Linked DNA regions of Lonchura striata. The protein of the gene in region 1 binds, or shares a complex with, the protein of each later gene. Links are inferred from orthologs where the notes say so. Each region holds a gene or a part of one and is shown on either strand. Other genes may lie near its edges. The genes, in order: STRN3, STK24, STK26 and SIKE1.

Evidence for each region.
Region 2: STRN3 (region 1) and STK24 share a complex: the UniProt entries of both Homo sapiens proteins name them as parts of the core of STRIPAK complex. The link is inferred for Lonchura striata from reciprocal best matches to the Homo sapiens genes STRN3 and STK24.
Region 3: STRN3 (region 1) and STK26 share a complex: the UniProt entries of both Homo sapiens proteins name them as parts of the core of STRIPAK complex. The link is inferred for Lonchura striata from reciprocal best matches to the Homo sapiens genes STRN3 and STK26.
Region 4: the proteins of STRN3 (region 1) and SIKE1 are in contact, whole or in part, in a crystal structure (PDB 6AKL), measured with the Homo sapiens proteins. The link is inferred for Lonchura striata from reciprocal best matches to the Homo sapiens genes STRN3 and SIKE1. Residues at the interface, in NP_001077362.1 of Homo sapiens: Arg176, Leu179, Tyr182, Leu183, Val186, Tyr188; in NP_079349.2 of Homo sapiens: Glu96, His97, Ala100, Leu103, Ile104, Ser106, Lys107.

What each region holds. Positions count from the first base shown.
Region 1 is NC_134608.1:27,182,275-27,189,846, forward strand, and holds the start of STRN3 (striatin-3), read left to right. Parts: upstream 1-4,567; 5' UTR 4,568-4,611; coding exon 4,612-4,923; intron 4,924-7,572. UniProt on the Homo sapiens protein: Calmodulin-binding scaffolding protein which is the center of the striatin-interacting phosphatase and kinase (STRIPAK) complexes.
Region 2 is NC_134604.1:77,898,988-77,905,879, forward strand, and holds the start of STK24 (serine/threonine-protein kinase 24), read right to left. Parts: upstream 3,020-6,892; 5' UTR 2,691-3,019; coding exon 2,649-2,690; intron 2,396-2,648; exon of another isoform or gene 2,210-2,395; coding exon of another isoform or gene 2,174-2,209; intron 1-2,173. UniProt on the Homo sapiens protein: Serine/threonine-protein kinase that acts on both serine and threonine residues and promotes apoptosis in response to stress stimuli and caspase activation.
Region 3 is NC_134616.1:7,630,384-7,638,278, forward strand, and holds the start of STK26 (serine/threonine-protein kinase 26), read right to left. Parts: upstream 3,001-7,895; 5' UTR 2,957-3,000; intron 2,852-2,956; 5' UTR 2,772-2,851; coding exon 2,730-2,771; intron 1-2,729. UniProt on the Homo sapiens protein: Serine/threonine-protein kinase that acts as a mediator of cell growth. Modulates apoptosis. In association with STK24 negatively regulates Golgi reorientation in polarized cell migration upon RHO activation.
Region 4 is NC_134632.1:1,913,438-1,921,225, reverse strand, and holds the start of SIKE1 (suppressor of IKBKE 1), read right to left. Parts: upstream 3,019-7,788; 5' UTR 2,896-3,018; coding exon 2,737-2,895; intron 2,619-2,736; coding exon 2,513-2,618; intron 2,193-2,512; coding exon 2,050-2,192; intron 184-2,049; coding exon 70-183; intron 1-69.

The DNA.
Region 1 (7,572 bases):
TCCTTTATTACCCTAATCTTTGTACATGGTTAATCCCTTTCTGATATTGTGACTATTTTATCTGCATGTATCCTTATGAATGGCCTGGATTGTTTTATAGATGAAAATATTAAGACCAGAATGGTTTTTTTTAGAATCTGCACAAATGGTCTTATCCAGAATAGATTAAAAAAAGAAAAAAACGAATAAGGTTGTAACAGAGGTAGAACCATAGTAGCACTCAAAAGTGTTATCTGTAATTTATGAGACAATTATTCACAGGATTAGAAAACATTATCAACAGCTTTTGAATCTGTAGGAAAGAGGTCCACTCTTTCTGTAGCCATTTCTGTATTTTCCCACCAGCCCCAAAGATAGCTTTCAAGAAATTTTGTTCATATAAATGGCAGCAAAAGCACACAGTTTTGTGCAGAAAAAGTGGAATAAATTAACAAGTTTGAATAATAACTTAGTAAAAATTTACTTAAAAAGTAACAAGCATAGATGACTTTGAGAATAATGCTAGTGTTAAAAAAATCTTAAGGGTTTCTTTATTTCATTTAGAACTAATTCTGAAAAAAATCCCTTGTAGTAGTAAAAGCATTTGCTTGCACAATTTAGGCAGAAAAGGGAAATGACTGAGTTTTGTTTCTAACAAACAAAATTTATTTCTTCTCTTTTCATCTTGGCTTTCAGATATAGAAAACACGTTAAAATGAGTTTTGCGTATATAGGATGTACAGAAGCCTGTGAAGTATAATAAACAAACAAAAGCATATCTGTGCATGTTGATGCATAAAGAAACCCCATTTCTTCAAGTTGTTTATAATTGAGAAGCTACCTTTTAAGATCAATAATCAGTACTCTACTTAAAAGCCAGCTACCTTTCCTCTGGTACAACTCTTACATGTTTTTCTGAGCATTCTCATGCACATGTCTGCGTGTACCCATGCACACACACAGAGATTACGATGCTTTTATACATGCAGAATCAAATGGTTCAAGGGAATTGGTGACAAGATGCAAGCCTTTCATATCTCTGCCATTATTTTGCTCATTTTAGTAATGAAAAGACATTACTATCTGAAGGCTGTTTGTCAGAAATGAATAGGCTCTCTCATTTCAGGTCACTGGACAACTATCTGCATTACAAATGCGCTTAGGAACTGAAGATTGGAGGAGACTATTGAGATCCTGATGGACTGTCAAGTCCAACTCTCTCCATCCCAGTCAACCATGCGTTAGAAATTTTGTCCAGAACAGCCTATGGTATAAGCTTCCTTGCATGTCCTGCATACCCAATCTACAAAACACCTGTGGAACTCTATCACTGAATAAAGATTCCCTGTAAACAAAAACCTCAGAAGGTATCGCTTGGGGAAGATGTAACAAGTCTGGAAACTGCAAACTTTCCTTCAAAAGAAATTACCTTCTGGAGTGACTAAGTAGCACTCTACTTCCCTTACAAAATACATCTTCTGTAAAGATAATTTGGCATGCATGCAGATGACATACAGTTTTACTACTGAGATTTAAATATGAGCTGTTACAGTGTGTTAGATGTCACCCTCATTAAAGTATCTCTTGCAGATAAGTATCTATGAGAGAAAATTCATATCATGATTGGCCTGTGTGACTCACACTGCAAGGCTGACATGGTTCTGGAGCTGCATGACCACATGAGACACCTCAAAGTAACTTGTCCCTGTTTGAGTGACACTCCTTTTCAGATAACAGCTGAGACCTCACAGAGAGACAAAGCCTGTAATTCTGCAGATAAAAAGATCTTAAGTCTCCCCATGAGGCCAACCCAGCTGATTCTACATGCAGTAAGATAAAGCATATCTTAAATATAATTTTAATTATTCCTCTGGTATAGATACAAACACTGAATTTAGTTTTTCACAGATTTCACCAATATTTATACATAATCTGACACAAAAAAAAACCCAAAAAAACAAAACCACAACCTAAGTTTGAATTGTACTTGCAGTACAGCTGCAATTCAAATTAGACATCTCTCAAACTAAAACCACTCCAGTCAATGTCTACAGATTTAGAAGTATTTTAGTTATTTCAGCCTAAGAAAGGTTTGCAACATTCTAGGGCTCTTAGCTAGAATGTAAGAGATAAAATCTCACAAAAATGGCATGACTACACATTTACAGAACTGCTTCACCAAGTAAAAATAAATGTTAAATAGAACTATAGGCAAATAATTATTTTGCTCTGTAGGTAAATAATGTACTTCCCTGTCCAACTCTAAACAAGTTGATTTTCTGGATGCAGAGATCTAATGGCACTTTATGTGTGCATGAAATGTAGAATCATCAGAAGTCAGAATAATCTGACTTAGAAGGGACCGCCACAGATCATTGGAGTCCAGCTCCTGGCCCTGCACAGAAAATCCTGAGTCACATCCTGTGCCCCAGAGTATTGTCCAAAAGCTTCTTGAACTCTGTCACTCACCCAGCTTAGTGCTGTGACCACTGCCCTGGAGAGACTGTTCTGGTGCCCAACCACCACCCTCTGGGTGAAGAACCTTTTCCTGATATCCCACCTAAGCCTCCCCTGGCACAGCTTCAGGCCATTCCCTCAGGTCCTTCAGGTCCTGTCACTGGGCACCAGAGATGAGAGATCAGTGCTTGCCTCTCCTCTTCCCCTCACGAGGAAATTGTTGACTGCAATGAGGTGTCCCCTCAGACTCTTCCAGGCTGAACAGATCAAATGACCTCAGCCACTCCCCATATGCCTTCCCCTAGAATTAAAACATTAATGAAAATTTTAAAATGGCTAAATGATAAAGGCATGAAGCACAAGGAGGTGTAACAAAAGGAACAAGTATTTTAAAAATATTTGTTTATTGAGCTTCTTATAGATTTATTGCACAAAACCATGTAGCAAATTAAGACCACACACATAATCAGAACCCTTGGTCTTCCTACTTCTGTTCTGTCAGTGGACAAGGCTTTAATAAAACCACATACTATTTTAAACATTACCAGTAAAAGTAATTTTTGCAGTCTTGTTTATTACTGTGCCCATAAAAATTCATCAAAAAGATGAAACAAGTATGTCTGTGTGGCTTTAAAATAAAACACTGTGTTCAATTTCAGGACAGGGATTTTTTTTAAAAAGCAACCTTAATTATCTAGGGAAGTCGAGGGAGGAAGGAAAGAATAAAAACATTTTCCTTTGCTGTTATCAATATGCTGGCTGCATATAGTAACGGAATTAAACTGTAATAACTCCCGTATAGTCAGGAATGAGGAATGTCCTGAAAAACTGCAGCTAAACAAAAGGTTAAACTAATTATGAGCTAAGTCTCAGTTTTTAATAATGATTAGGTAACTGTCAGTAGACAATGAAAAGAAATCAACTGAGGTGGAAAGGAGCTGGATTTAGATTGCCTAATCAGTATGGAATCAGGAAGAATGGACAATGACATTTTAGTAGGAAATGATTTAATGGAGAAGAAAGGAAGAACTGGATGAACTAACTAAAGCATCAATACATACCTAAGGAGAGATTGGTAAAGAAAGGAAACACCAGTACGGAGACAAACAGTATTTTTTTCCAGTAATTAACAGAATTCCAGGTCTGTAAAGAACTGACCTTTTTTAGGAAACTACCCCTCTAGTGAATGAGTACAGCATGTAAAAATTTTGAAGAGAGGGAAAACTAAAGACCTACCTTACTTAAAATGGGTGACCTATGGAAATAGGATGTGATGGTAATTTTTAAGTATTATGTTTCAGAGCAGTATTTTGCAATCGAAGCAATTTCACCATATTCAAACTACAGCCTCAAACACATTGCTATCACTGATAAAACCGAGCCAGATAAAACAGACCAGGAATTTCTTGCAAAACCGTCCTCGCGTGGAAGAGTTCAGAACAGCGAAAATGGTGCACTCTTCCTCCTCAAGGGGAGAATACATTGCACACATCACAACCGAGGTATCATGAAGATGACCAGAGACTAGCCAGCTTCCAGAAACACACCGTAAATTTAATACATCTATTCTAAACCACCTCCTTGTAGGGCAAACTCAGCGCACCATTAAACCGCGCAGAGTCTCAAAAGCCGAAGTGTGGGACCCGCGCTGCGCTGGCTGCGCGTCCCTTTGCGACGCAGGCCCGGCCTGGCCGCATTCCCGCCGACTCTTCCCAGGCGTTCGGCACTCCCGAGCGGCGGGGCGCGCCTCGCCTCGCCGCCGCTTCCGAGCGTCACCCGGAGCCGACGGGGCCCGCCCGGCCGGGCCCCGCCACCGACCGACCCAGGGCCGGCCGGCCGGGGCGAGGCGGCCCCGCCGCGGGCAGCGCCGCCGGCCCGGGCCCGTCCCGCTCCCCCGGGCGCGGCGCTCACCTCCCTCCGCGCAGGCGCGTCGGCCGCGGTTTCCCGGCAGGCGCCGCTCGCTCCCCGCCCGGCCGGTGGGAGGGTGGGAGGGCCGCGGGGCTGTAATGGCGGCTGGCGGCGGCTCCGCGCTGCGCTGACACCCGCACCCGCTCGGCGCAGCCACCCCGCCCGGCCCGCCCCCTCCTCCCCGCCCCAGCCAGCGCCGCTCGCCCCCTCCCCGGCCCCTGCTCCTGGCCCCCGCCGCGGGACGAGGAGGAGGGCTCCCCGCAGACAATGGACGAGCACCCAGGAGCCGGAGGAGGCGGTGGGATGGCGGCCGCCCCGAGACCGCAGCAGCCGCCGCCGCAGGCGGGTGGGAACATGAACCTGCAGTCGGGTGGGGGCTGCGTGGGGGCCGGAGCTGGCGGAGGAGGGCAACAGCCCCAGGGCCCCGCGGCCCCGGCCGGCCAGGAGGCGGCGGGCCCCGCCGAGCTGTCCCGGCCCCAGCACTACACGATCCCGGGGATCCTGCACTACATCCAGCACGAGTGGGCCCGCTTCGAGATGGAGAGGGCGCACTGGGAGGTGGAGCGGGCCGAGCTCCAGGTACGGGGGGCGAGGGCGATCTGGGGCCGGGCCGGGCGGCTCCGGGGGCCGGGCCGCGCGCGGCGTGCGGGGGCAGCGCTGCCTGGGCGAGCGGGGCCCGCGGGGCCGAGCCGGTCGCCGTGGCTGGGGACGGTACCTGGGTGAGTCCGGCGGGCAGAGCGGCGGCACCGGCGGAGGCCCGAGCCGGGCTCCCTCCCCGGGGCAGCCATTTTGGTTTGTAGCATGGCGCCCGCCCGGCTCCGGAGCGGCCCCGGCCCCGCAGGCCGCTCGCCCGGAGCCGCGGCGCGGGGCCCGGAGCGCGGCCCGGGGAGGGCGGGCGGGTCCTGCGCGGCGCTGGGCTGGGACCTCCGCCCCGCCGGCGGCGCGAGCTGCGCTGCGCCTTGACAGCTGCGGCCGGCTCCCGCAGCACAATGACTCCGGGGCTCCTCGGCCCCGTGCGGTACCGACAGCAGGAGCCTCCGGGCCTGGGAGGGAGGACTGACGCCTCCCTGCCGCTCAGCGAGCTCTGGCTTTGGAGGGAAAAGAGGGAGTTAGGAGGCGGCCCTGCCTCCCGGGCAAGGGCAGGACGAGGAAAAGGAGCTCAGGTAAATCGTAAGTAAAAGACTTAGCCAGGCATGCAATTAGAGACAGGTCGAATCTGATCTCTCTTTCTTTCGGACTCGCTTCTTTGGAGATTTCATATCGGAGAAGAGCGAGGAATCGATAAGTCTGCAGTGTGGTCATTTCAGTATACAGAAAAATACCGGCTTCGTTTCGGGAACGGAAACTGAAGAACTTTTCAGGATAGACAGCAAATGTTGGAGTTGCCACATATATTTCTTTCCCCTAATGTTTCTTTTAGTAATAGGATAATTTTACTAATTATTTTTGCAAGTAGGAAAAAAAATCATGCCTAGACTATTACCAGTTTATGAACAGATTGCAAAATCCACTGAATGGGAGGTATCCACACAGGAGCCATTATATTTTTATAGGACAGAAATGTACATAATAAAAATGTAAAAAAGTATTAGCAGACTTCATTGCTTCCAAAAAATTTTTTGTGATTTTTGTACTGAGTGAATTAGTTTATGGTCTTGAAGTAGTGGTCCATCAAATTGCACTGCAACAGCAGCCGGCGTTTGCAAAGCATTTGCTTTTGCATTTCAGGACCAAGAAGTATATCTGAACCTGGGCAATATTTTAGGAACTTCTTGGCTCTATAGTAAGCATGTATTTGGCGCTATTACAGTTACAACTGTAATTAAGAAATAATTAAGACCCAAAACCACCAAGAGAAACAATTGAAGAGACTTTACTGTTTCTATCACTTAACTTCAAGTCTTACCATTTTAAACCTTGTGGAATGGCTGAATTTAAAATCCACGGTGAACATGGGTGGGTGTTTTTAGTGGAGAGCAATTGGCCGTTTCTCCTGTTTTCTCTAGCGTCTCAGTGATATATTATTACGTTTATAAATAAGTTGTGTAGTGTTATTCATTACCAGACAAAACTGCCTTGAAATATTTGTTTTAGGTATGGGCTTGTTACTTTAAAATGAGGTACTGCTGTACCCTAACATGAAGAGTACTCCGGAGAGTTGAAAAGTTGTGTCTGACCGATTTAGTGCTTCCCTGAACTCACGTTGCCTCTGGACTCCCTAATGCACTCTTAGCCAAATCTGCTGCTTTTTGTTTGTGGTTGCTGTTTGTTGTCCATGGCCATACAATTCTTCTGCATGTCTGTGGAGGCATGGTAGCAGTTCTGACCATGATGTATGTGTGGGTTTACATATATGTGCAAATGTAATGGGACTGAGACAGCAGTGTTGCTGCACAGTGCCTATGCACAAGGTTGTTTTTGGTTGATTTTTTTTTTTAACTTCGGAAGCCCAGGGTTGAAGAGCGGGAGGATTACCCTTGGATTTTAGGTCTTAGCCTATGCAATAGTGAAGACTGATACAGGAGTGTGTTGTGAATATTTTTTGGACATAGATGTTGCTAGGTCCGTGGGATTTTTGGTTTATTCTGCAACTTAATTTGTGAAGTAATAGCATATTTTGTGGCCAGTAAAACTGTAATAGTTTGGACCCCAAACAACAGTTTTGTCCCTTGAAGCTAAGGAGAATGTTAATCATATGTCAAATGTGAGCTTTTTGATGATAGAGGCCTCCTGGGTTGAAAGCAAGACAGGAATTCCATAGCATGACAATAGATAATTTATGTGGAAGTGGGTGTTGGATGATTTAGCTGCAACTCTCCTGATGCAGGTAATTTCATTCTTATTTCTTCATTCTTTCAAGATGACAGTAAACTCTATAAATGGTGCTTCTCAGTGCTGGCCATTGCAAGTTCTTTATAACTTTGCTAATGATGTTTTATAAAAAGCATGGAAAAAGAAAATGACCTAGCAATATGTGTGATTTCATTTATGTGTTCTGAATAGAAAAATTTATTATTACGAAGAAGAAGATACTTTCTTATCTGTGGTATGAAGTATTGGGCCTCCTGTGTGGTTTGTCCACCCACTCCCCCCCCTTTCTTTACATGTGTCGTTCAAGTGACTGGAGGAATTGGCACTCCTACTAGGAGTGCTCTTTTCATAGAGGGGCGATAGTGATGGGAGAGAGGATCTGCAGTAATAGTTTATTCTTTCTGGGTTCTTGTAATG
Region 2 (6,892 bases), on another chromosome or scaffold:
TACCATAAATTTATAAACAAAGTACTTGATTTAAAATACAGCTTCCTTAAAGAAGCTCCATAAGCTTGCCACAGCCTTGAAATGCAAGCCAGTCTGAAAATCAAGGTCGTATACACTTACTCTGAGCCAGTCTTGCAGGAATCTCACACGTTTACAGGCAAACACACACTCTCCTCAGGCCACTTCATGAGGCATGAAGAAGCAAGACAGCACATCCTCAGTTTAGTCATGATGGATCTTCACCCTGCACACTCAAACTCGTATCTACACAGAGCCCTTAAAACAACAACAACAGAAACTTCAAGTCTGAACTTAAACTGCACAGACAGAAATTTAGGTCAAAACCCAACTCTATTTCAATTCAGGTTACAGCATGCCCATTGTGCAGCAGACAGCAAATCTCAGGTTTTGACAACCTTCCAACACCATCCTACATTTCCTCCACAGTTTCTCATTCCTTTGGCTCACTTTCTACCCACTCACTTTTTATGCATCACTCTTCAAACATGGATCAGACATCTTGCTTAGGTGGAAATATATTAATCATTCATTCCTCTACTCTACTGACACTACCATGCTCAGGCCAAACAGCGTTAATAAAAGTGATGTCCCTCCAAGTGATTTTTTGGGGTTAAGAAGTTACCCTGCTCACACAAGCACAATGGCTGCTCTCTTGTGTGAGTACAGCAAAGAATGTCAGAGAAAGCTGCATAACTTGTCACTGACACTGCTTCCACCGTTTGTGGCAGAAGCTGGTAGGTGGGGAGGAGGGATCACACTACAGAAAAAGAAGAGATGGTCCCGTGATTTAGGCAATTTAATTATAACCCAGAGAACTAAGCTATATTCCTCTCTTCTACACAACAAAAAAGTCCCAAATCTTTTTCTCATCTAAGCAGCTGTCACACATGGTATGTACTTTACTCTTTGAACATTTATTTGGAAGTGAAATCAAAGAGAATTGTGTACTGAGAACAGACCACTATAAAACTGCTATATATTCTGACAGAATGGAAATGGATACAGACATCTTGAACTGGGCACAGAAAATTAGTGAGCAGCATTCACATTGCTCACAGAATTTATGCCTCTACCTATCGGCAGATCTCTGGTTTGGTGTTCTGGGGGTTTTCTTTAGACTATGAAAGTTTACACTTGAGCAACTCAAACAGTAACAGAATAAAAATCATGAGAAAAAGAACACCATTTTGAATAAAATTATTTGAAGCAAAGTCCCAAATTATGTGGACTAACAAGAACCCTGAAGAGCCACACATTCAGGAGAGCTAACAGTACTACAAACCAAATAATAAACCAAGCCAATAAAAAGCACAAGTCCTCAGATCATGCAGTGGCATACATCATCAGTACATGCATACTGATGGAATAATCTTCGTTCTCTCACTTACAAGCAGCTACAAATCTGATTTTTAAATGCTAAAGTGTTATAGGTTCTGTCTCAAAGCAGGCAGTTGTTTTAGTCTAATATGTCTCAAGGGAATTTTTAAAAAGCCCAAACAATATCCATAGTCAATCAAGAAACCATTTCTTTGTCTCTGGCAATCGGCAAACTGCTCATATTTGAAAGGTGAACTGGAACTCTCAACAGCAGGACCTACACAGCAATAGATTACTTAGCTCAGAGGGTGGGCCTACGTAGGCTACAGGGCATCCACTACTATGTATGAGCACATAATTCATGCTATGCCTAAGCATGTAATATTTTCAATTCAAATCTTCAGATTTTGGAAAGAAAAGAAATTAATGACTTAGAATCCTGACTCACAATAAAACAAACTATGGTAAATCCATATTTAACCAAGTGATGCACAAACACTTTTAATCCAGGAGACAAATTTAAGAGAAACTCTTACATGTCATTCATAAGTTGTCCCTTTGAAGATAAGGGCAAGAAAGTTTCTAATCGGATGTGGGGAATATTAGTATAGCAACACACAGATACCACTGACCTTAATGTTTTCCTGGCAGCAGTTGCCATTTAAATCAAGAAAATCGAGCTCAGACTAAGCCAGCTCAGTCAGCACAAAACCACACTAGTTATTTCAAATACATAGTTAAGACACAGAACGAGCAAATTCCACCGTGTAACAACAGCAGCTGACGAACTCTCGGAATCAAACACAGGAGCCAAACCCGATCCCCGAGCACCCACCTCAGAGCAGCACCACAGACACGGGCACTGCAGCATGCGCTGAAGGTCAACATTGCCAGGCCCTGCTTGTACCGACTGGCTTATGCATGCTTCCCCCACGCACCCCAAACTAACGGGGCCGAAAATCGCCCACTGAGCCGTGGCTGGCTTCAGGGATTAAAACACGGAGAACTGCCGGCCGGGGAGGGGGCCACACGGCACGCCGCGCTCCGCCCGCTGCGGGGACAGAGCGGCTGCCGAGGGCGGATGGAGGGAGAGAGGCAGGCAGGGATCCACCGGGCGGAGGGACCTCGCTGGGCGCCACGCCAAGCGCTGACAGCACGGTTCGTCTCCATCCCGCTCGTCCGCCCCCAGCCCGGCCGGGCCAGGGTCAAGAGCCGCTTTCTCCTGTCCCCCCAGCGCCGGGAATGCCCCTCTTTGCACCCAGCCCGGCCCGAGGTGCGCGTCCGTGCCCGCCCTTGGGGCAGCTGCTCACCTGCATCCCCGGCAGCCCCGCCTGCACGGGGGAGTGAGCCATGGCGGCGGCGAGGGAGGCCGGGAGGCAGCCGAGTCTCCTCAGGCGGCTCCAGGGCACAGAGCTGAGCTCATCTCCACGCTCCCTCTCACACAGCACCGCCGCCCTCCTCCTCCTCCTCCTGGCCCTTCCCCCGGGCGAGCAGCGCCTGTGCGCCGGCGGTGGGAAAGGGGCCGTCCCAAGCCCGGGCTCTCCAGGCCCCGTCACGGATGCAAAGGCGGCAGCGGCTTCCTCATCCCTCCTCCTCTTCTTCCTCCTCCTCCTCCGGGCCGTGCCGGCGACACGATGACAAACCTGAGGCGGGAGGAGGAGGCGAAGGAGGAGGAGGGGGCGGAGCGGCAGCGGCGGCCCCGCCTGCCGTGCGCGGTACCTGCCCGCGGGCCGCCATGGGCGCGGCCGGGGCCCCGCGGCCGGGGCCGGGCTCGGTCGCGGTCCCGGTCCCGGTGCCGGTGCCGGTGCCACGGCCGGGGAACGCACCGCAACCCCGGTGCTCCGCAGAAGGAAGCGCTTGGCTTCCTGTCAGAAGCCGCAACCCAAAATGCCAGTCGTGCTTCTCCTGTAGTTCCCAAGCGGGAGCACAGTGGGTCAGCACTGAGGTCTCTCCCACACAGGAGTTCTGCGTACATGCAAATCCCTCGAGAACTCGACAATGTTCTATTCTTTGTTACAACTGGAATTTAACAGCGCAGTCGCACAGCTTCCCGTGTGCCATGGAATGTCCTAAAATTCTCTCATTTTTCCGCCCCGGCAAAAAAACGTAGGGAGCTTCATGAGTGTTAAAAGTTTTTGAAACCTGTCAGCCGGTAGGTCTGGCATCCATGGGATAACGAGGCTCGCTGTCTTTCCAAGTGATTTTGTTAAATGATGTCAGCATCCACTGCAGCATAAGTTGCTTTTCACTTGATAATTCACTAGAGTCTGTACAAATCTCTTAACTGCAGGAAACATTTGAAAATAGAAAATGGTCTTATTGAAAATTTGGTTGGAACTTCCACTCAAGTTTTTCCTATAGTTTGGATAATCTTTGTTTTCTTATGTGGCTGAGTTAATGCCCAATCTGGTTTTCCTAAAACTTGGAGATACATAAATATTCCTAAGATGTCTATGTCAAAGTATTATTCAAATAAAATTAGCCAACAGCCTTATGCAGGTAGATAAGTGTACCCACACACAAGCACATTGGTGTTTTACCTGAGAAAATAAACTAAGTAAACTGGTAAACTAAATATATCAGCCCTTGAGTACAGTGAAACAAAAAGGGATGATGGCTAGAAACTGAAAATTGAAATATTGAAATTATTTTTTCAGTTGTTCATGAAGGAGTTGAAATTTTCTTTAATGCTGGGATAGAATGGAGATTCTGTGGGGTTTGGCTTGGTATGTAATTTTCAAAGAAATGTAAAGTGTTTTCATTTGTGTTCTATTTCAATCAAAAATCAAATAACAGTTATGAGAATCAGTATCAAAACTCTCTATTTTGATTGTTTTCTAAAGCATTTTTGCAATGTTCTTAAAAAAAAAAAAATGTTTAATTGCTCCACTGTTTGCAGTAAGTTTTTCTAACTTGCTAGGGAAAAAGTCAGTAGGCTACAAGTGAACCTTTTCCTTTGTCTCATGAATATCATTGAAATTCTGCTACATCACGTAATATTAAAAATCCTAATTGAGAAAATGTCAGTTTTACTATTGTTTATGCAGTTTTATTTTGTTGGGTTTTTTTCCTATATGGCCATTATGGATTTTATTAGTTGCTTTACTTTTTCTGCAGTTGCACATTCAGTGTGGAATCAAAATAAAAATTTCTCTTTTGTATTATGAAAGGTATACAACTGTTATTTTCTGTCCATGAGTATATTCTTTGGGACATAATTAATTTTCCCAAGGAAAATACTTGACTTGGTAGATTCTCTAGCTCAAGGCGCATAAGGACCGAAAATTTCCCACGCTGCTCTGAAGTGACTTCCACCGTGTAAGCTCCTGGCCTGGGGCCACTGTGAGGTCTTCCTGTTGTTTGTGTACCATCGTGGATTTATTTAATCTCAAGGTTTTGAAGTTATGCATGATATGTTCAACAAGATTCTGTGCCTGAAAAAAATATTGTTTGGGCTTTGGAATAAACTCTGTGGGCAGATTTACTTGCCAAATGCAGGAAAACAAAGGAGCAGATTCAAAACTCTTCAGTCACAAACCAGATACTAGTCCAAGTTCTAATGAAGTCAGAACAATGCATTAGAAGGTCTAATATCTTGTCAGCTTCTAAATTTTATACTGTAACTCATGTTATGATACACTTCCAATTTCTCCCAGAACTTGTAGAAACTTTTAAATAATTGTTTTGAATGTAATTTTAAAATAATGAATGTGTGTGTTTGCTGTTCATTTTGTAAATGCTAGTCTTTCTGTCTAAATTTCAGCTCCATCTCACAGACTTAATAACAGAAGCCTTTCAAATTTTCCTCTTGTTTTCTCAACCTTTTGTGGGTTTTTTAATCTTTTCTGAGAAAAAAAAAAGTGTATTATAGTCCAAAGAAAGGCTAGTCTTGAAGAATTATTTGTTAAATAGAATGATTATATGTTATGCTAGCCAACCATCCCAATACAATGACTGAGACTTCGGAAATAAACACTTCTTATCATTAAGACAGATCTCTGATGTATCTTTTTGAAGCCAGACGTTCCAAGCATTCAAAAATTCAATTTATTTTACATATCAACTTCTCAATAACTGGTTTGCTTTCAATTTAGCATAATACTTTGCATATGCAGAGATTTTCTGCCTTGCTGGTTATGTTTAAGCCATAAATTGTAACATTTCCATCTCTAACAGTAAGATAAGAGTTACAAAAGAAAAATATTACATAATTGTAAAGACTGTGACTGTGAAATTCTGCTTATAAATATGTGTGAAGAAAAAATGTTTTCCTTACTGACAAACACTGAAACTTCTCAAATGAACAATGTAAGGTCATTGGTGTTTTCTAAGATGAAAGGTACACCAGGTACCCAGCTCTTTTTTGATTTATAATAATAAGTGTGACTCTTGCCTGTATCACACAATTCACAGCAGCTTTAACAAGGATCTTCACAAATGGACCTTTAAGAATTTAAGTGTTCTTGGGGCAAGAGGGAAAGTCCTCACATGGGTCTCTAACTGAGGTTGGAGAGGAAAGAAAAAGACAAAAACCTTTCACAGTGGGGGGTGTTACCAGTAGGCTGTCGCAGGACCAAGATGGGACCCATCTTGCTCAGCATATCCATGACTGAGCTAGGAAAGAGACTAAAGAAAATTGACAGTTTCATATTGCCAATCATCATGAGGGGGAAACTAAAACAAAGCCCAATCTCAGAGTGCGTGACTGCTGAGTGACATGCCAGCAGATGGGGGTTCAGCAGAGTAGAAGAATGTCAGAATATGAGTGCTGTAAATATCCTCAATGTCACCCTACAGAAAAGCAGCTTTCTGGGAAAACTTTATAAATATGCAATATCTAAATCAGTGAATTAAACTCCAAAGGTATAAGTAATGTTCATTTCTGCACACTGAGTCATCTTGACTATGGCTTCTCTTTTCAGATCAATACCAAGTCCTTTAAGCTTTCCTTTCTGGGAGATCAAACAGCAACTTTAAGCTTTCCTTTCTGCTCAAACAGCAACTACTCTCCCAGGAAAGAGCCAAGGAACCAGACAAGGGTAGGATGCAATTTTATTTAAAAAATATATATCTTTAGTGATAAAAAGCACATTTTCTATAAATAACAAAAAATATCCCTGTGTTGCCCAGGACTGATATTTTCCCTGCCTTTGGCAGTATATGCACCACAAGATTAGTTTCTAGTGTACTTCCAAACTATGCAGCAATGATACACCTACAAATCATTGGTGTTTTCTCTGTTTCCACCAAAATTTTAAAATTTCAGTTTTCAGTTTCCATGTGAAAGGGTGTCCCTTCTACAAAGTTTGTGATGTAGCCTTTCTTCCTCTCAAGATGCCATGCAGCTGTGTATTTCTTCCAGCAGAGGAAGCTTGTGTAGTTTCAAAAGCACACAGCTTGCCTTCTACAGATAGATTTGGCTGTGCATTTATGTTCTGGTTCAACAAGCCACTTGTCAGAAAAAGGTTTTGTCAATTACAGAAGTAGAGCTGGAAATCCACAATGGCATTCTACTCTAAGTCTTGTGAATGCTGAAGGTGAAAAAATTTGGTTA
Region 3 (7,895 bases), on another chromosome or scaffold:
TACTGAATAAAACCTCAAACCTGACAATCAAGCTCACTGCAAACTGTGCTTCCTGTAACCAGGACACCTTAACTGTGCTCATTATCCTTTCCATTTTCCATCTCATCTTGGATTCTGCATAAAATGCCATAATTTGTGGTATCATGTTCAGCTTCAGACCACTCATGTTATACATACACTGAGTACCTGGATTTTACTGAATGGGCTTAGAAGTTAGGCAGCTGGCTAAGTTAACTCTGTACAATTGCACCAAGGGGAGCCTTTCCAAAGGAGCAAGGAAAATGAATGTGTTTAGGAAGTTGTCTGCAGAAGCAAGAATTGTTAGGTATAAAATTTGGTTTTGTTAGGGACACAAGACAGGTTAAACAGAATGCAACCACTACATAAACAAATGGCTCTGTAACTACTCATAAGGGCAACAGATAATACCACCTTTGGGTCTGCAATTGCTGTCAGGGGACTAAAGTCAAACTGCAAGTCCACCAAAATAACTCTCTGTGATTTTCTGTAATTTTCCATGTTTGAGTTTTTTTAAAGGGGACCCGACTCTTCATAAGGTGAAAAATCTTAAAAGAGTCAAAAAAGCATCTGATATACTTTGGTAATAAAATGTCTTAAGGTCTGGTTTTGGAGTATGGAAATTACATAACATGTTTGTTTTTGTGTTTTTCTTGATTTTTTTTTTGTATAATCAAATGTAAGGGAAAGCATAAGATGACAGTAAAGCTGAAAACTTCAAACTTGTGACATTCTCTGACAATATCACTGTGACTATTCCACAGTGGTAGTTTTAACATAACCATTACATCTTGCATCACAGAGGAACCTGTTTATTCCTTCTTTAATCAATCACCACCCACCTACTTTAACACTGAGCAGAAGCAGGCACGCTTTTACCATTACTTAGATGATCCTGCCTGAATAGTCCAGATAGGTTAAAAAACCCCAAAGGAAACTCCTCCATCTCAGACTGTCATGAAGTTTTTGTGTTTGGGTTAGGGTTTTTTAAAAATGAAAACCCTCTGTATTAGGACTCTTCTAGAAGGATGAGCAGATTAATATCACACCAAATTCTATTTTTTTGTATTCTGAGGGTTTCAGGACTTGTGTAATCACGTTCATAAAAAGATGGCCACCAAGGGAAAAAGTGTGTTTTAATTCTATGCATCTGGATTTATCTAATAGTTTAAAAAATGTTTTTAACATACTCATATATGTTAAGGGCTGTGAGTTAAACTACTAACAATACTAGTGGGGATAAGGATGCTACTAGGATAAAGTTTATTGGTGTAACAATGAAAAAAACAGAACCTTAAATAATTTCAAGGTCCTTTTGTGTTGGCAGTTACAGAAAATAGAACAGCAATACATTAAGCAGATATAAAAATAGGAAATTGACAAACTAGAATGTTGAAACAGAAGTTTCCCAAATACAAACACACTAGAAAGCCCAGAGGCTGTAATTAAAGAAGCTCAGACTAAAGCCTTTAAATCTTTTATAACAAAATTTCTTTAAGATGTTCTAATGCAACAGTTATTCTGACACAATGGAACAACTAGGCTGAGCAGATGTGGCTTGTGATCTCTTATAGAAACAGAAAGTCAGTGAATTACCACAATTTAACAGATTTCAGAAAGCCTAGAAATTATTAGAAAATAGAAAGGTAAACTAAACCATAGCATTGTAACAGGCTTATACTTATAAATATGTAAATACTGTTTATATATCAATTCTACACTTTGTAGAAGTCATAAAGTTACCTGACCAAAAGATATATTTCTGTTCTGAAGCCTCCTGAACTCTTTACTGTATCTCTCACGTACACAGAAATGTATCATAAATGTTTCTGTATTTGAACTGAAAAAAACCTCCGATGTTATACAGGTATGACTATCCTAGAAGTTAAGAGAATGCTCAAAAACACTGACTGGGCTGCCAGTACCTGACAAGAAAAAAAATCAGCACTGAAATTAGCTAATCTTTACATTGATAAAGATATCTGGCTAAATTTGTATCAGATTGTCCAGTGGAGTAAGAATGAAGAGTCAGAGGTATTCCACCTTTCCTATGAAAGTCAGTAACACACCAACTTGTTTGTTTCCTAAGCAGGTAACACAAACATAGAAAAGTGACACCAGGCCTGATTCCCAGGCGAGGAGAGGTGCAGGTTTCTGACAGACTGCGTTCGCCGGTGCTCTGTCCCCACCAGACCTGGCGGATACCACCTCTCCGTGAATCCCAAGGTCCTCCGGGAAGCTGCTCTACAGGCCCAGCGCCAGGATGGTGGGGAAGTCCTGCTGCAGGTCCGCCTGCCAGCGCGCCTGCTATGTCATTTACAGCGCACCCACACACCCTGCGATTAACTTCACTTCGCCTTTAATCAGTTTTAGAGGCTCTTACGTGCTCCTGGATGCGGCGCGGCCACCCCTGAACAAAGGGAGGCATGGAGGGAGGGGGATCCCTTCTCCTCCGCCGGGGTGCAGGTACGCGGCCCCCGAAGCCTCCCGTTGCCTCGGAGCAGCCCCTGCTTCCCTCCCTGCCTCGCTCGCTGCCCCGGCGAGGCGGCGGCCCGGCCTGCCCCGGCCCGAACGCGGCCTCCCCGCGGCGCTTCGCCCACCCGCGGCCCCCCGCGCCCCGGCGGCGGCTCCGCCCGGTGCGGGCCGCAAGCGCCGCTTCCGGAGCCGGGCCGGGCCCGCCGCCTCCATTTTGGGCCCGGTGCGGAGCTCACCTGCATGCCGGGCACTTGCACCGCCACGGGCGAGTGGGCCATGGCGGGCTGCGGCGGCCGGGCGGGCGCCGCCCGCTGCTCCCCGATCTCGGCCTCCTTCTCCTGGGCGGCGGCGGCGGGGCCTGGAAGGACAAAGCGGCGGGGAGGCGGCGGCTTCAGCGCGGGCCGCGCTCCCTCCTTCCCTCCCCGCCCTGCCCGCCGGCCCCCGCCCGCCGCCGGCTCCTCACCTCGCGGCCGCGGGGCTGCGCTGCGCGAAGGGCGGGCGGGGGTCGCTAGCGCCGCTGTCCCCTGCCCGCCGGGCTCCCCGCAGCGGCCCTGCCCATGCCCCGCTCCCCGGTCCCGGCGCGGGGGCGGCTGCTCGGGGCCCCCCGGGGTGGCGGCTCTCGGCGCGGCCGGGGCTGGCTCAGAGCGCCATGTCGGGCTCCGGCTGCAGGCGGCGGCTGCTGTGCGGCGGCTGCTTCCGTCTCGGCTCCGGCCTCGCGGGGCGGAGCCGCCGCACGGCCCTGGCGTCACGGCGCCCGCCTCCCCGGGCGGGCCGGGGCCGGGGCCGGGGCACGGCCGAGGGAGGGGCCGCGGCTCCCCTCGGCCTCAGCACGGCCCGGGTCGCGGCCGCCCGGCTGTCACAGAGTGACCAGCGTATAGCTTGGAAAAGATTTCTGAGGTCATCGAGTCCAACCGATGGCAAACACCACTTTGCCAACCAGACAAGGGCACCGAGTGCCACGCTCAGTCTTTGCTTAAACACCTCCAGGAACGGTGACTCCACCGCCTCCACGGGCAGCCCGTTCCAAAGCCTAATCACCCTTTCTGTGAATAAATTCTTTCTGATGTCCAACCTAGGCCTCCCCTGGCACAGTGAAGATCTCATCCCCTTGTCCTGTGGCTGGTTCCCCGGGGAAGAGCCCGACCCCCACCTGGCTCCAGCCTCCTGTCAGGAGCTGCACCGAGCAGCAAGGTCCTCCCTGAGCGTCCTTTCCTCCAGGCCAAACACCCCCAGCTCCCTCGAGAGCTCTCATCACACCCGTGCTCCAGGTGCTTCACCCATTTCTACTGCCCTTCTCTGGACCCAGTCCAGCACCTCAGTGTCCCTCCTGAACGCAGAACTGGACGCAGCACTAAGGTGCAGCCTCTCCAGCAGCAATGCTGACCCCTTGGGTGCTGTCATGGGGTCCCTCCTGCACAGTCACAGCGCTGCTCCTTGGCCCCACTGTCCCCAACACCCCTGTGCCGCTGGCTCCTGCACCCCGGAGACACAGGGTAGTAACCGGGTACAAATAACTGAGGGAATATTTGATGGGGTTTACTTGCTTTTGTGACAAAAGTGGTGATGTCTTCTTGTCTCAGGGGTGCTCCTGACAGCCAGCTGTGGCAGAGGTGGTGAGGGCAGGTCCAGTTGGTCTTTGGAGGTTCAGCTCCCAGTTCAGGGTGGTTGGCTCTTTCTTGGCTCCCCTGGGGGTGTTCCCCCCTCCTTGGGCAGCTCTCCCCACTCTGCACCAGCTGCTGCAGGGCTGTCCCAACACATACCTGTGTCCTTCACCACCACCACCTGCTTTCCTGGTGAGTTGGGCTGCCCCAACATTCTACCAGGGCCTAGAGAGGGGAAAATAACAGTATTTTTGAAGTGACTTTTTTCCCCATTCATGCATGAGTCACACATTAGTGTGTGTGATTCATGTTCCTATACATGTAAATTTTGCCGGTTACTAAAGCAAATCTCAAACTGACATCTTTTATGGCACTAGTCTTCCCCAGAAGCCCATTGACCAAGAGTACAGAAATCATGGATCCATCACAAATATCCTCATGGGTATGCGAAGGCTTCCCTCAAATTCACAGGTTTCTAGATCTAAAAGCCAAGAAAAAGTAAGGTAATCTGGAGGTGTTGGGTTGCTGGCCATACCACAGCTATCCTGCTGAGAGGGTGGGTCCCTTCAGAAAGGATGTGACAGCAGGCAGTCTCCCTCTCTTAGGACTTAGAGGAATGTTGCACTGGGCAAGGAACACAAAACACCTCTGTTTAAGGTAAGGTTGTGTGAAAACAAGCTGAAGACAAGAATTTCAAAGTTAGGCAGTCTTTCCATCCTTAACTCACTGTGGTTTGAACCAAAAAACAAACAGTAATGTTTGTCAAAGACGGGCTTGTGGATCGTGGTGGAATACTTTTTTTTCAACTTGCCAGTTTGTTAAGCCTTTACTGTTACTAAAGTGTTTACTTTCTTCTGCACCTTTTTAAAAAATAGCATGACTTAAAAAGGCTTCTGTGTTTTAGTTATACATCTAAGTTACTTATGAGCCTACCTGGAGTCCATTTTAATGTGCGGAATGTTTAAGGTAAGTATTTTCTGAAAGTTGATACCATATAATTAAATTCAAAAATGTTTTCCATTAATAAACTTCTGGAAAGAAATGGGGATTTCTACTGACAAAAATCTTTAATTATGTACAGTGGTTCAGCAAATAAATGAATGAATATTCACTCATGGTACTTTTGAATCCTGGCCTGATTCATTCTGCTCAAATATACTTAAATCACTTCTCCTGCTAGCTTTTAATAATCTTTAGAATATAAGCCCTGAAAAAATCCTGACAAATGAAATAGGATGATTTTTATTTCATGCTGCTACTGCATTGCAGACCTGCTGCTCCTCTTCTGGTTCTGAGGCTTTGCTTTTCTCTTTCTATCCATATATTACCTTGATTTTTCTCTCCAGATTCCTGCTAATTGTTTATCTCAGCCTTGTCTTGATGCTATACATATTTTCTCCCTGTTTACTTTGTACCAGAGACTACTAATTGCCAATCCATTCTTCCTATTTTGGGGCCACATACTGTGACTTTTGGCCTTTTATGTATTTCTGACTTGCATGCAGATTAATATAACATGAAAGGGACTGTAGTAGATTTATTTAAGAGAGTTCTAGTTCTGGTCTTGCAGGACAACTGTGAATCATGTGATAAGGTATTCTCCCCAGAAAGTACATCTATAGCTGTCTTCTGTGCATGGCAGGTTGACTAAGGAACTGCAGTGACAAAAACACAAAGAAAAACATCCTGTGAAAAGTCAGGTCGGAAAGCCCAGGAATGACATGGTGAGCTGAGCCAGGAAGGAAAACCTGTCAGGGAATCTTAGGTAATCAGCTGGTCATGCAATGACTGAATCATTGAGCCAGGCTGTGAAGTGAGGTAGACTGGCACCATAACATCTAAGAAAAGGGCTGTAATATTGTATTCCCCTCTGTAATTAGCAAATTCTAGTTTGTGCATTAAGAAAGACAGGTGGTCAGTTGCTGATATTGCTCTATGAAAGACCTTTCCTTCTCCCTACCAGCCTGCCCTTTAAATACTTGGTGCTGCTGTTTTCCAAGACTTAAAATGTGTCTATAATTCACTTAGGACAGCTCCCAGGGCCTCACAGTAGTAATGTGACCCAAGTCAGACCTTCAACTGTTTCATGTTTTTTAACTACTATTTTTGTTTGCTGGTGTGAAAATATAATTATTTTTACATCAGAAGACTTCAGGGAGCTATCAAAACCATGCAGCTTTTGGAGAGTGCCTGCACCATGTTAGTTGCTTTAGACCTACCACAAAAAGTGGTAGAAATGTCTCTTAAACTTTCAAACATAAATGAATAAAACAAAAATAGAGTGTCAAACATAAAAATACTGTATTTTACAAACTCCAAGGACTCCTTACAGTGGTATACTGGGGGGAGGGAGGGAACAGGTGTCTGATCTGGTTCTAGCAGAGCTGATGCAAACTCACACATCTGTCTAAAAATATGATGCCCAGTTTCTATGTATCAGGATGGATATGGGTGTTGCAAACCCTTCAGTGCCTTTGCAAAGTTCAGCTGGCTGGTGTTGCACTGACCTGGGCTTGTGGTGCCAATCCCATGCAATGCATTTAGAGGCACCCACAATTCTCCTGCCTGGCACCTGTCTCTCAAAAGAAACAGCACAGCTAAAGGGTTTCCTATAGAAGTGGCATACAGCATCCCAAACCAGTAACTTCAAATGCCTTTCATGTTTTTGAGTCTGAAACACCTTGCCAAAGATGTTGTGCAAGCTAAAAGTTGACTGGAATTAGGGGGGAAAAAGAGCCACATATTTATTTTATTAATGAGAACATCAGTGATGTCAAAGGAAGAATTAAAATGTTTTTTTAAGAACATAATTTCTCAATCCATTGACATAAATCAGTCTCTGATTCATGGGCATTAGGTAAATCACTTTGTCTTCAAGGCAACTTATTTAGGATCTTCAGAATTTCCAGCACTAGAAGCTGCTGATACTCACTAACTCAAGGGAGACAAACGTAGTCCTTGTCAATCCCTTATTACAACTTCGACATCTCTGTATCCAATAAATAATTTAAAATTACAGAGCCTTGAAGCTGGACTAGAACCCAGACCATTGTACATTCACTTCTGCTTACCACCTTCATTCCCATGCCCAGAACACATCTTGTCTCTCCTCACTCTCTAGTATTCTCAGTATCCCACCTTCCTTGTTGCCTCTGCAGCTCTCGGTTCCCCCAGAGGAGGCAGCTCAGTTGTTCTGTAGGACACTAGGTGCATGGAGATCCTCCAGCACAAATGGATTATTTAGATAATTCAGCTGTCAAAGTCTGCCAATGCCAGCTAAGTGTAAAAAACTGAGATTTTCATGTAATATAGTAAAACCATTCATTTTCTTCAGGAGAAAACAATGGTACGTGCTTGACACAAGGATGATGCTCCACATCCTCCCTCAGAAGCAAAGGGAACAAAATGATATTTCTTAGCAGGGCAAAATGATACATCTTCTTGCAATCTTCCTCTTAGAAATGTCTGAACTATTTTTTAATTGACACTTCCTGTACTTTTAAGGAAAATAATCAGGCTGAGCTAAATGCCTAGGATGGAAGAGGTGGGTGAAGGATGCTGGTTCACCATCTCCTTCAATGTAAAGACTAAAGATCATTAAATCAAACAAGCAGATGCCAAGTTCAAAACAAACAAAAGAAGGCACTTCTTCACACAGGGTATAGTTAAGCTGGTGAACTATTTGCTACAGGCCAAAAGTGACTGGACAGTTTCATGGAAGGAAAAAAAACTCTAACACTGGGAAATACTGTTTATAAAACTAGCACCTCTGGTTGAGGAATTAGGTGAGCTGCAAATCCC
Region 4 (7,788 bases), on another chromosome or scaffold:
TAAATTTTTTTTAAGTCCTTGACAGGAACATAGAAAACACAGAGAAAGTCTGGAGACCTCTGTTCTTACCTCCAACTGAGCCAGTTTCTCCTGAACTTTAAAGAACTGCTCATCATCCACTTGAACAGCTTTTCTCATCACCTTTCCCATCTCACATATTCTGTCTATTTGACTTTCAATTTCCTAAAAGACATAAAATTAATACATTCAGTAAGTTGAGGCAAAAGCAACAGTCATAATTTATCCCTTATAAATCACTTACTTCCATCTTCCTGATTTTGGATTTTCTTTCTGTTTTGAATTTTAATAATTTCCTCCCAAGGACTTGAAAGCCTTTCTGTCTTGTATACTCAAGAATAAGAACTTGTACCTTATTGTCCTCTATCAGCAGTCCTTTATCAGTGAAAACAGTGCAGAGAGACACAGCAGGCATCAAGATAAGGCACCCTGACTTAAAAGGAAATAATTTCAAGTGTGCCAAGGTCTGAGACAGCATTCAGGTTCATGATTAGTAGGCAGCAAATTTTATTTAGCTTTATTAGAAAAGCCTGACTGAATTTATTAAGACACCAAAAATAAATGCAAAGATGATTTCAAGTGTGGAGTAAACAACTTTACCTCAGAAAAACATCATGCAACAAAAGTAGAGCAAGTAAGATCAGAGCCTCCTGAGGCAGATTTTACAGAATTTGTCTAGATACAGCAATAATCCTCTGGAAAATGCATTTTGCTGAAGGTCAGAAATGCACATGGAACAAACACTGACAAATTCCAGTATGAAGCAACAGTTCCTGCTTGAAGAGCAATACATCACATAATGTGACAGGTGACAGGGTGGAGTTTCTTTAAGTGCCCATAGTTTTTCTACTACCTCTGAAAGATAAATTTATCACAGAGCAGAGAATTGATTTTGAAGTCCATTATTCAGAAAGAATGTAAACAAATTAGAGCATTCAGAAGACAGCTGGAGAACACGAGAGACTTCTGGGAAGAAAGATTATGATTTTTTCTAAACAGGAAGATGGTTATACTGAGAACATAGTTCTTTTAAAGAAATAAGCAGTTTGTTAATGTTCTCCAAATGGTGGGGAGGAAAAAAACTCATGGACTTCACCTGAAGTACAGAAGACTTTGTCTAGACATTGAGACAATCAAGGGATATCCCTTCAAGGATTCCTTCAGAGCCCTTTCAGCTTTGCATTGTCAAGTTTTGTTCAAATGTAAAACCTTGATAAACAGCAATTCGTGCACTCAGGGTGGCACTGGAAAACAAACCCAGCTACACCTTCACATGAGTTAAGCAACTTAGAAAAGAGAAGTGAATTGCCACATATCAGTGCACAGAAAGACATGAGAGGAGTTAGGCTGGCTCCAGTTCCAATTAAAAAACTACAAGATATGAGATGTCACTGGGTTGAACCAACCTGCTGTTCTCTAAGCAGATAAAATGCATTTTAAAAAATGCCTAACACAATTCCTAAGTCTTAAATGGAAATGTAACATTATTCTATTGTTAATAGATACCTAATAGGAAACAGGCAGCAGTTATCAGCAGCCACATCTCAGAGTACTGAAGTCACTGAGCCCAATGTACAAAAAAGGACACTTTAGACTACTACACAGAGTATCTGGATTTAAAAACACTAGGGAGTAAAATCGCTTAAGAACTAAACATATACAGTTCACAGAGTTTAGGAGTTTTCCCCTTTGTTACAGCTACTGAATAGGAATTATAACAACTTGTACATCTTTGATTTTACTACAGAGGATCAGGCACATTAAGCTTAAGCCAGGGAATTCACCACCCAGTTAAAAGTAAAAGCCTCCACCTGGGCTGTGAAGGGGCTGTGCCTCTCAGTGTCCTCTGGGACAGCTATTACTGGTTGTGTGCTCTGAAAGGAGCAGAGGGTAAAATACCAGCAAAGAGAGTCAAGATTTGGAGAAAATGTATTTTGGGGCACAGACACTCCAGGAATGGAAACAAAGATTGCATGACAGCAAGCAGGGGACAAGGGTCTTGAGCACTCTCCTGTCCCCATCCCACCTTACCCCAGAATTAGCCTGATGGACTTTCAAGACTGGCTCTGCCTCTTCACGTTTTCTCCCTTCCAGCAGCTGCAACATCTGCTTCCTGTACTTGCTCATGATGAGTTCCAGCGCGTCCTGGTGCTCCTCCAGTGAGACCCACAGCTCTGCAGAACACAGCACGTCAGGGCCACGACCGGCAGCCACAGGAGCCCCGAGGCGCTCGCTGGGTACCAGCTGCGGGACCGGCGCTGCCCCACCGCTCCCCGCCCCGGCCACTGCGGTGGGGCTGCGCGGACCCCCTCGGCCGAGGAGACTCCCTGACCCGCGACCCACCGGGGCATCAGCGCCGCTGCTCTCCTCGACAAGCCCCTCTGGCCGGGACCAGCGGCCGCGCATCCCACCGGGACAGCCCCGCACACCGCTCAGCATCCCCCGCGGCCCCGCAGCACATCGCCCGCCAGGACCCGCCCCCGGCCCCGCTCACCCCGGTTCTCCTGCTGCAGGTCGCGGATCTGCGTGTTCTCCTGCGCCAGCACCACGTGCGGCCGCAGCCGGGACGGGTCGGGTCGCTCCGCCGCGGGGCCCGGGCCCTGCCGACGAGACGCGGGGGTCGGTCCGGCCGCCTCGGGCCTACCGAGACGCGGGGGCCGGTGCGGCCGCCCCGCCCGGGCCCCGCCGAGGCGCGGGGGCCGCCCCGCCCGCGCTCACCTGCTCGGCGCAGCCCGCGCCCGCCTCCCGCATGGCGGCCACGCGCCGGTGCAGCACGGCCGACTGGTCGATGAGCGACTCGGCCGCCGTGTCGTGCTCCTTCAGCCGCTCCAGCAGCGTCCGCGCGTCCGTCAGGATCTTATCGATGGTGCAGCTCATGGCGGGCGGCGCTGCTCACCCCCGCGGCGGGCCCATGTCCCGCGCGGCCCCGCCGCCGCTCTCCCCCCTCAGCCGCTCTCGGCGCCTCTCCGGCCCCGCCGCCGGGCGCGGGCGGACGCGAACCCGCGGGGCCGGGACGCCGCTTCCGCCCGCGGCCACGGCGCCGCCAGTGCGCAGGCGCGGCCCGGCGCGAGCCCGCCATCCGCCAGCGGCTCGCCTGGCGGCGCCAGAGCGCCACGGCCGGCCCGGGGGGCGGGGCCAGAGCGGGGGCGGGGCCAGAGCGGGGGCGGGGCCCGGGCTGCCCCCGCCGCTCCCGGGGGATGCTCGGAGCTCTGCAGCTTTGGCTGGTTTTGGGGTGGTTTGGGGGCGTTTCGGGGCGCCCCAAAGCCGGTCTCCCCCGGCACACGGCGCCCCAAAGCCGCCTGCCCCAGGTGGATGTGCCCCCGTCCCACGAGCTGCCCACGCCGCGGTCCCGCGTGTCCGAGCCCCCCGTGCCCCGAGAGCCCCGGGCCCCGGCCCCAGCGCGGTGGGGGGAGCCCGGGACAAGGCCGGCTCCGAGAGGCCGCCGATCGACACAGGCTGTTTGCGGAGGGCCGGCGGCCCTGACCCCGGGTCCCGCTTATCTCTGCGGCTGCTCCCTCCCAGCGCGATCAATCCCGGCTGGGATCTGCGGGGCTCCCATCTTATCTGATCCTGCTGTTTGTCTCTTCCAACAGTAAACATCCGCCACTCAAAATAACAAGCTGTGCAATGCTGACTCGCTGCTTTGATTCTTATTTGCTAACTGAAGCTACTGTTGGTGATCTGGGGTGTCCTTGAGGCTTTGTACCACAAAGTTTTGTTCAATAGCACCAGCTTCATTAACAATGTTTTTCAACAATAATATTTCAGCAGGACTGCCTTTGATTTGAATAATATTCCTAATTTAAATCCCTATTTACACAGACACATGAGAAAACTCCAGGATGCTCTATCAGATGAAGGTTCTTTATGATCCCAGAGATAATCAAGGCTGGTGCAGAAGTGCTGAACGAGATAATTTTATAAAATCAACAATCTCAAAATATGCACACAAAGCAAAAGAGAACAGGGTAAGCAGCTGCAGTTGGAATATTTCATCAGAATCAGATTAATTAGTAAAGTATGAGAACTATTCTGCAAATTTGGGAAATGTAATCCTTCTGCTAGTTTGGAAATAAAAGCCCAGACCATGTTATAGCATATAAGGACCTTCTGGTCCTTCCCTATTTTTCATCTTATTAGAGACTACTAGAAAGTTAGGACAGTTTATTGGAATTCCTTTTTCCTAATAGGCAAGTCACGAACACTTGGAAAACTGACAAATATTGCTTTGTGGACCATCCTGGGTATGGAACAAGTTGGGTAAAATCGTCCTGTCCCAAAATGGACACATCGTCCCTAAGCCCTAGCCAGCGCTGGTTTTCCTGTCCCACTCTCACATCCTCACATGACCCCTCGTGTGCAGTTCAGCACCTGCTGCTGCCTCCCTCTGCTCCCATTCCCAGCTCTGTGCCTGCCTCCAAAGCCTCTCCCAGAGCTCCCATTTCCACAGAGCCTGGGCAGGCTCACAGAGCAGGCCTGACACAGCTCCATGGAACGAGCTCTGTGTGCCAGAGCCATCTTTTCCTTTTTCACTTTCTCCAACACAGGGATTTCTGTGAAACCAAACTTGCAGTCCCTGAGGTTCCACTTAATTCAGGCACTCAATGAGCCATTGAGAGATGTGGCCCTGGGAATTCCAGTTCATCCCTAGGAAATCAGCCGCAGGAACCCACAGTCTGGGCAGAGTGAAGGATCATTTCATCATTTCATCGCTGCAGGAGCTGCACCAGGATGTATCTGAGCTGCCTGTTCAGCTCTTGTGTTTATAGTTCTGATTTAACACTCACTTCCCCCTGGTGTCAGAGGTGCCATCCTGGCCCTAGGCAAGAGCAGGGGTAGGTGAGGGCAGCACTGCTGTACCAGACTGTCATTTCAGGATCAGTTTATTTCCTCTGTGGCATTCTGGCTTCTAGGAATAAAATTCCACGATGAGAGAGATGAGAATCTATGACACCACTGTCACACTGCCCTGAGCCCGTGCTCCCACTCAGGGCTGGGGCTCAGCCGCTCTCCAGCAGATCTGGACATGGAATCATTTGTCCAGCTCCAAGGGACAGCAGAGTGAGTTCCTGTGGCGCCAGGACACAGAGAGGATCCCAGTAGGACAAAGATCCTTGGTTTAAATGCTGGGAATGCTTGTCACCAAAACTTTGAGTGTGTAGCAACAGAGCTTAAACAAATCAACAGATGAGCATTTCTGAGTAGGGGTGCCTTGTAATTCCTTTGGCTTATCACAGCAATTCTGTGTAAACTAAATAGAATGTATAAATTTGGCCTCTCAAACTTTTTAGTGTTTAACTTCAATTCGATTAAACACTTATGTGTGTGTACAAAGTGAAAAATGGGGTTATGAGAGGTTAATGTTTTAATGCTTTTAATAACTCTTAACCACATGGCTGTATTTTGTCAAACAGAACATGGGGTTGTTGTAGCAGGAGAAGTGAAGGCAGGATAGCAGAGTACTGGGACACTCAGAACAACAATGCTGCTGCAGAGCCCAAACTGCTCCCAGGCCATCTTTGGAAAATCAGAAATAGTATTTCTGTGCTGGGATAAATACATAACAGTTCTGAGTACAGCTGAGAAGGCTCTTGCTAACATTAGGAAAATCACAAAGAAAAGAAATCTAGCTGGACATAAAGTGGACAAAATTGCTCAGGGCACAGGAGCCCCTCCCCTATGGATACAGGCTGAGAGAGCAGAGACTGTTCAGAAGATGAAGTTGTGTGGAGACCCCACAGCCATCTCCAGGGTCTGAAGGGGCTACAGGGAAGCTGGAGAGGGACCCCTCATCAGGGACTGGAGGGACAGGACAAGGAGAAATGGGTCCAGGCTGAAAGAGTGGAAATTCAAGTTATATACATGGAAGAAATTCTTCCCTGTGAGGGTGGCAGGCCCTGGCACTGGGTGCCCAGAGCAGCTGGGGCTGCCCTTGGATCCCTGGAAGAGTCCAAGGGGCCAGGCTGGATGGGGCTTGGAGCAACCTGGGATGGTAGAAGGTTCCTGCCCATGGCAGGGGTGGAACAGGATGGGATTGAAGGTCCCTTCACATCCAAACCATTCTGGAATTCTATGAACAGATCAATATCAAATGGCAATGTCTGTGACAGATGGAGTGACATCTAGATATTGGAATTAGAGAACAGAATAAAGGGCAAATCTTTAGAATACTTCTTGGATTTTCAGTAAAATTATATTAATTGTAAGTGTGGTCAGCACAGGTAAAAACATTGTGGCTAAGTGTCTGAAAGCAAAAGTCTCCCATGGTGATGCAGCTGGGCACAAGCTTTTAAAAATGGAATGTGACAATTCTCATTTCCATTAGAAGCCCTTCCTTCAAAACCCAACTATTTCAGCAGTTACAGCTGTTTAAAAAGCAAACCAGCCCCCTCTCACACCACACACCCCAACACTTTCTGACTGCTTGCTTTTAAAATTAAGTGGTAGTGTTAAGACAAGCTCTCAGCTACTGTCACAATTTCACTGGTTTTGCCTTCAACAAAAGTGTAGCACAGAGACTCACGGGCCAGGAGCCCAAAGGAATCCTCCTCTTGCACTTCCCAGCCCATACTTCAAGGTAGATTAAAGTGGGATAATGCAGAGTTGTCCTGTGACAAGAATTATTACCAAGGAACTCAGTCTTATTGTTCATACTAATTATCTTGCTTTGATAAATCTTGAGGAGTCACCCACTGCACCACAGCACTCACACTTATGAGTCTAATATTCTTTCTACTGTTAAAACAAATGTCCTCAAGATGGAATCCAGGCTGGAAAAAAGGAAAAACATTATCATTGATAAATGGATACATCCAGTTAGTTCAGTCTCAGCAGCAAGACCACTGCTGATAAAATGCTGAGCAAGGCATTCCAGAATAATTATTTTGTAATGCTTAACATAGAGTGTCAAGATCTGCTTTATGGAAATGAGGTCTTGGCTTCCCTTTGCTGTACATATAAAGTACTGCAGTGCCTGTAGTTAGGAGTATTCTCTATGAACTACCAACTCTGGGGATTGTAATCAAACTTAATTGATAGTTTTGCTTTCTTCCACTTTGTGCCTTGCTGGAGTATCTGATTAACAAATCTGGTCTTCCAGCCAAGGGGAAACAGTTTTGGCAGAGGGAACTGAAAGGGGGAGGTGTTAGGATACCCAGGAACTTTGTCAAGGTTGAATGGATGGGTTTATTGTACCTACTCTGCCTTCAGCCACTGCAGATTAAGTTTAAGAGAATAAACAGGAGAAACAGTAACATTTTGTGGGTCCTGAGACTTTCAGGTGAGTTTAAGGCATCTTCAGTTTTCTTGAACTGAAACTTCACATAATGTTTAGTTCTTCAAGGTTGGCCTTACAAACCTGTAAGAAAATTCAAGGTGAAACTATCCAACAACTTCATGATTAAGAAAAAAATGAGTCTTAAAAAGATTTAAATTGTTCTTCCTTTCTGGTCTGCTATTTCATCATTTAATCCCACAAAAGCATTTAAGAATTTAACAAAAAAATGCATCTTCTGAGCTATTTCTCGTCCAGTTTGCTAATGAGTAGTTGTCTGATACATTTGATGCAAAACAAAGAGTATTTCTATTATCTCACACTAAAGAACATCTCTCTGCAGTGCCACATGGGAGCTGTTCACTGTGCAAAGTAACACCATCAGACAAAATCAGTACTCACAAGGCTTTGGGCTGCTTCTCACCCGGGACTGAGAGGTTCATCCACACCCATGAAGAACAATCCCAACAGTGTCAGCATTCCTGAACCTTTGGAAG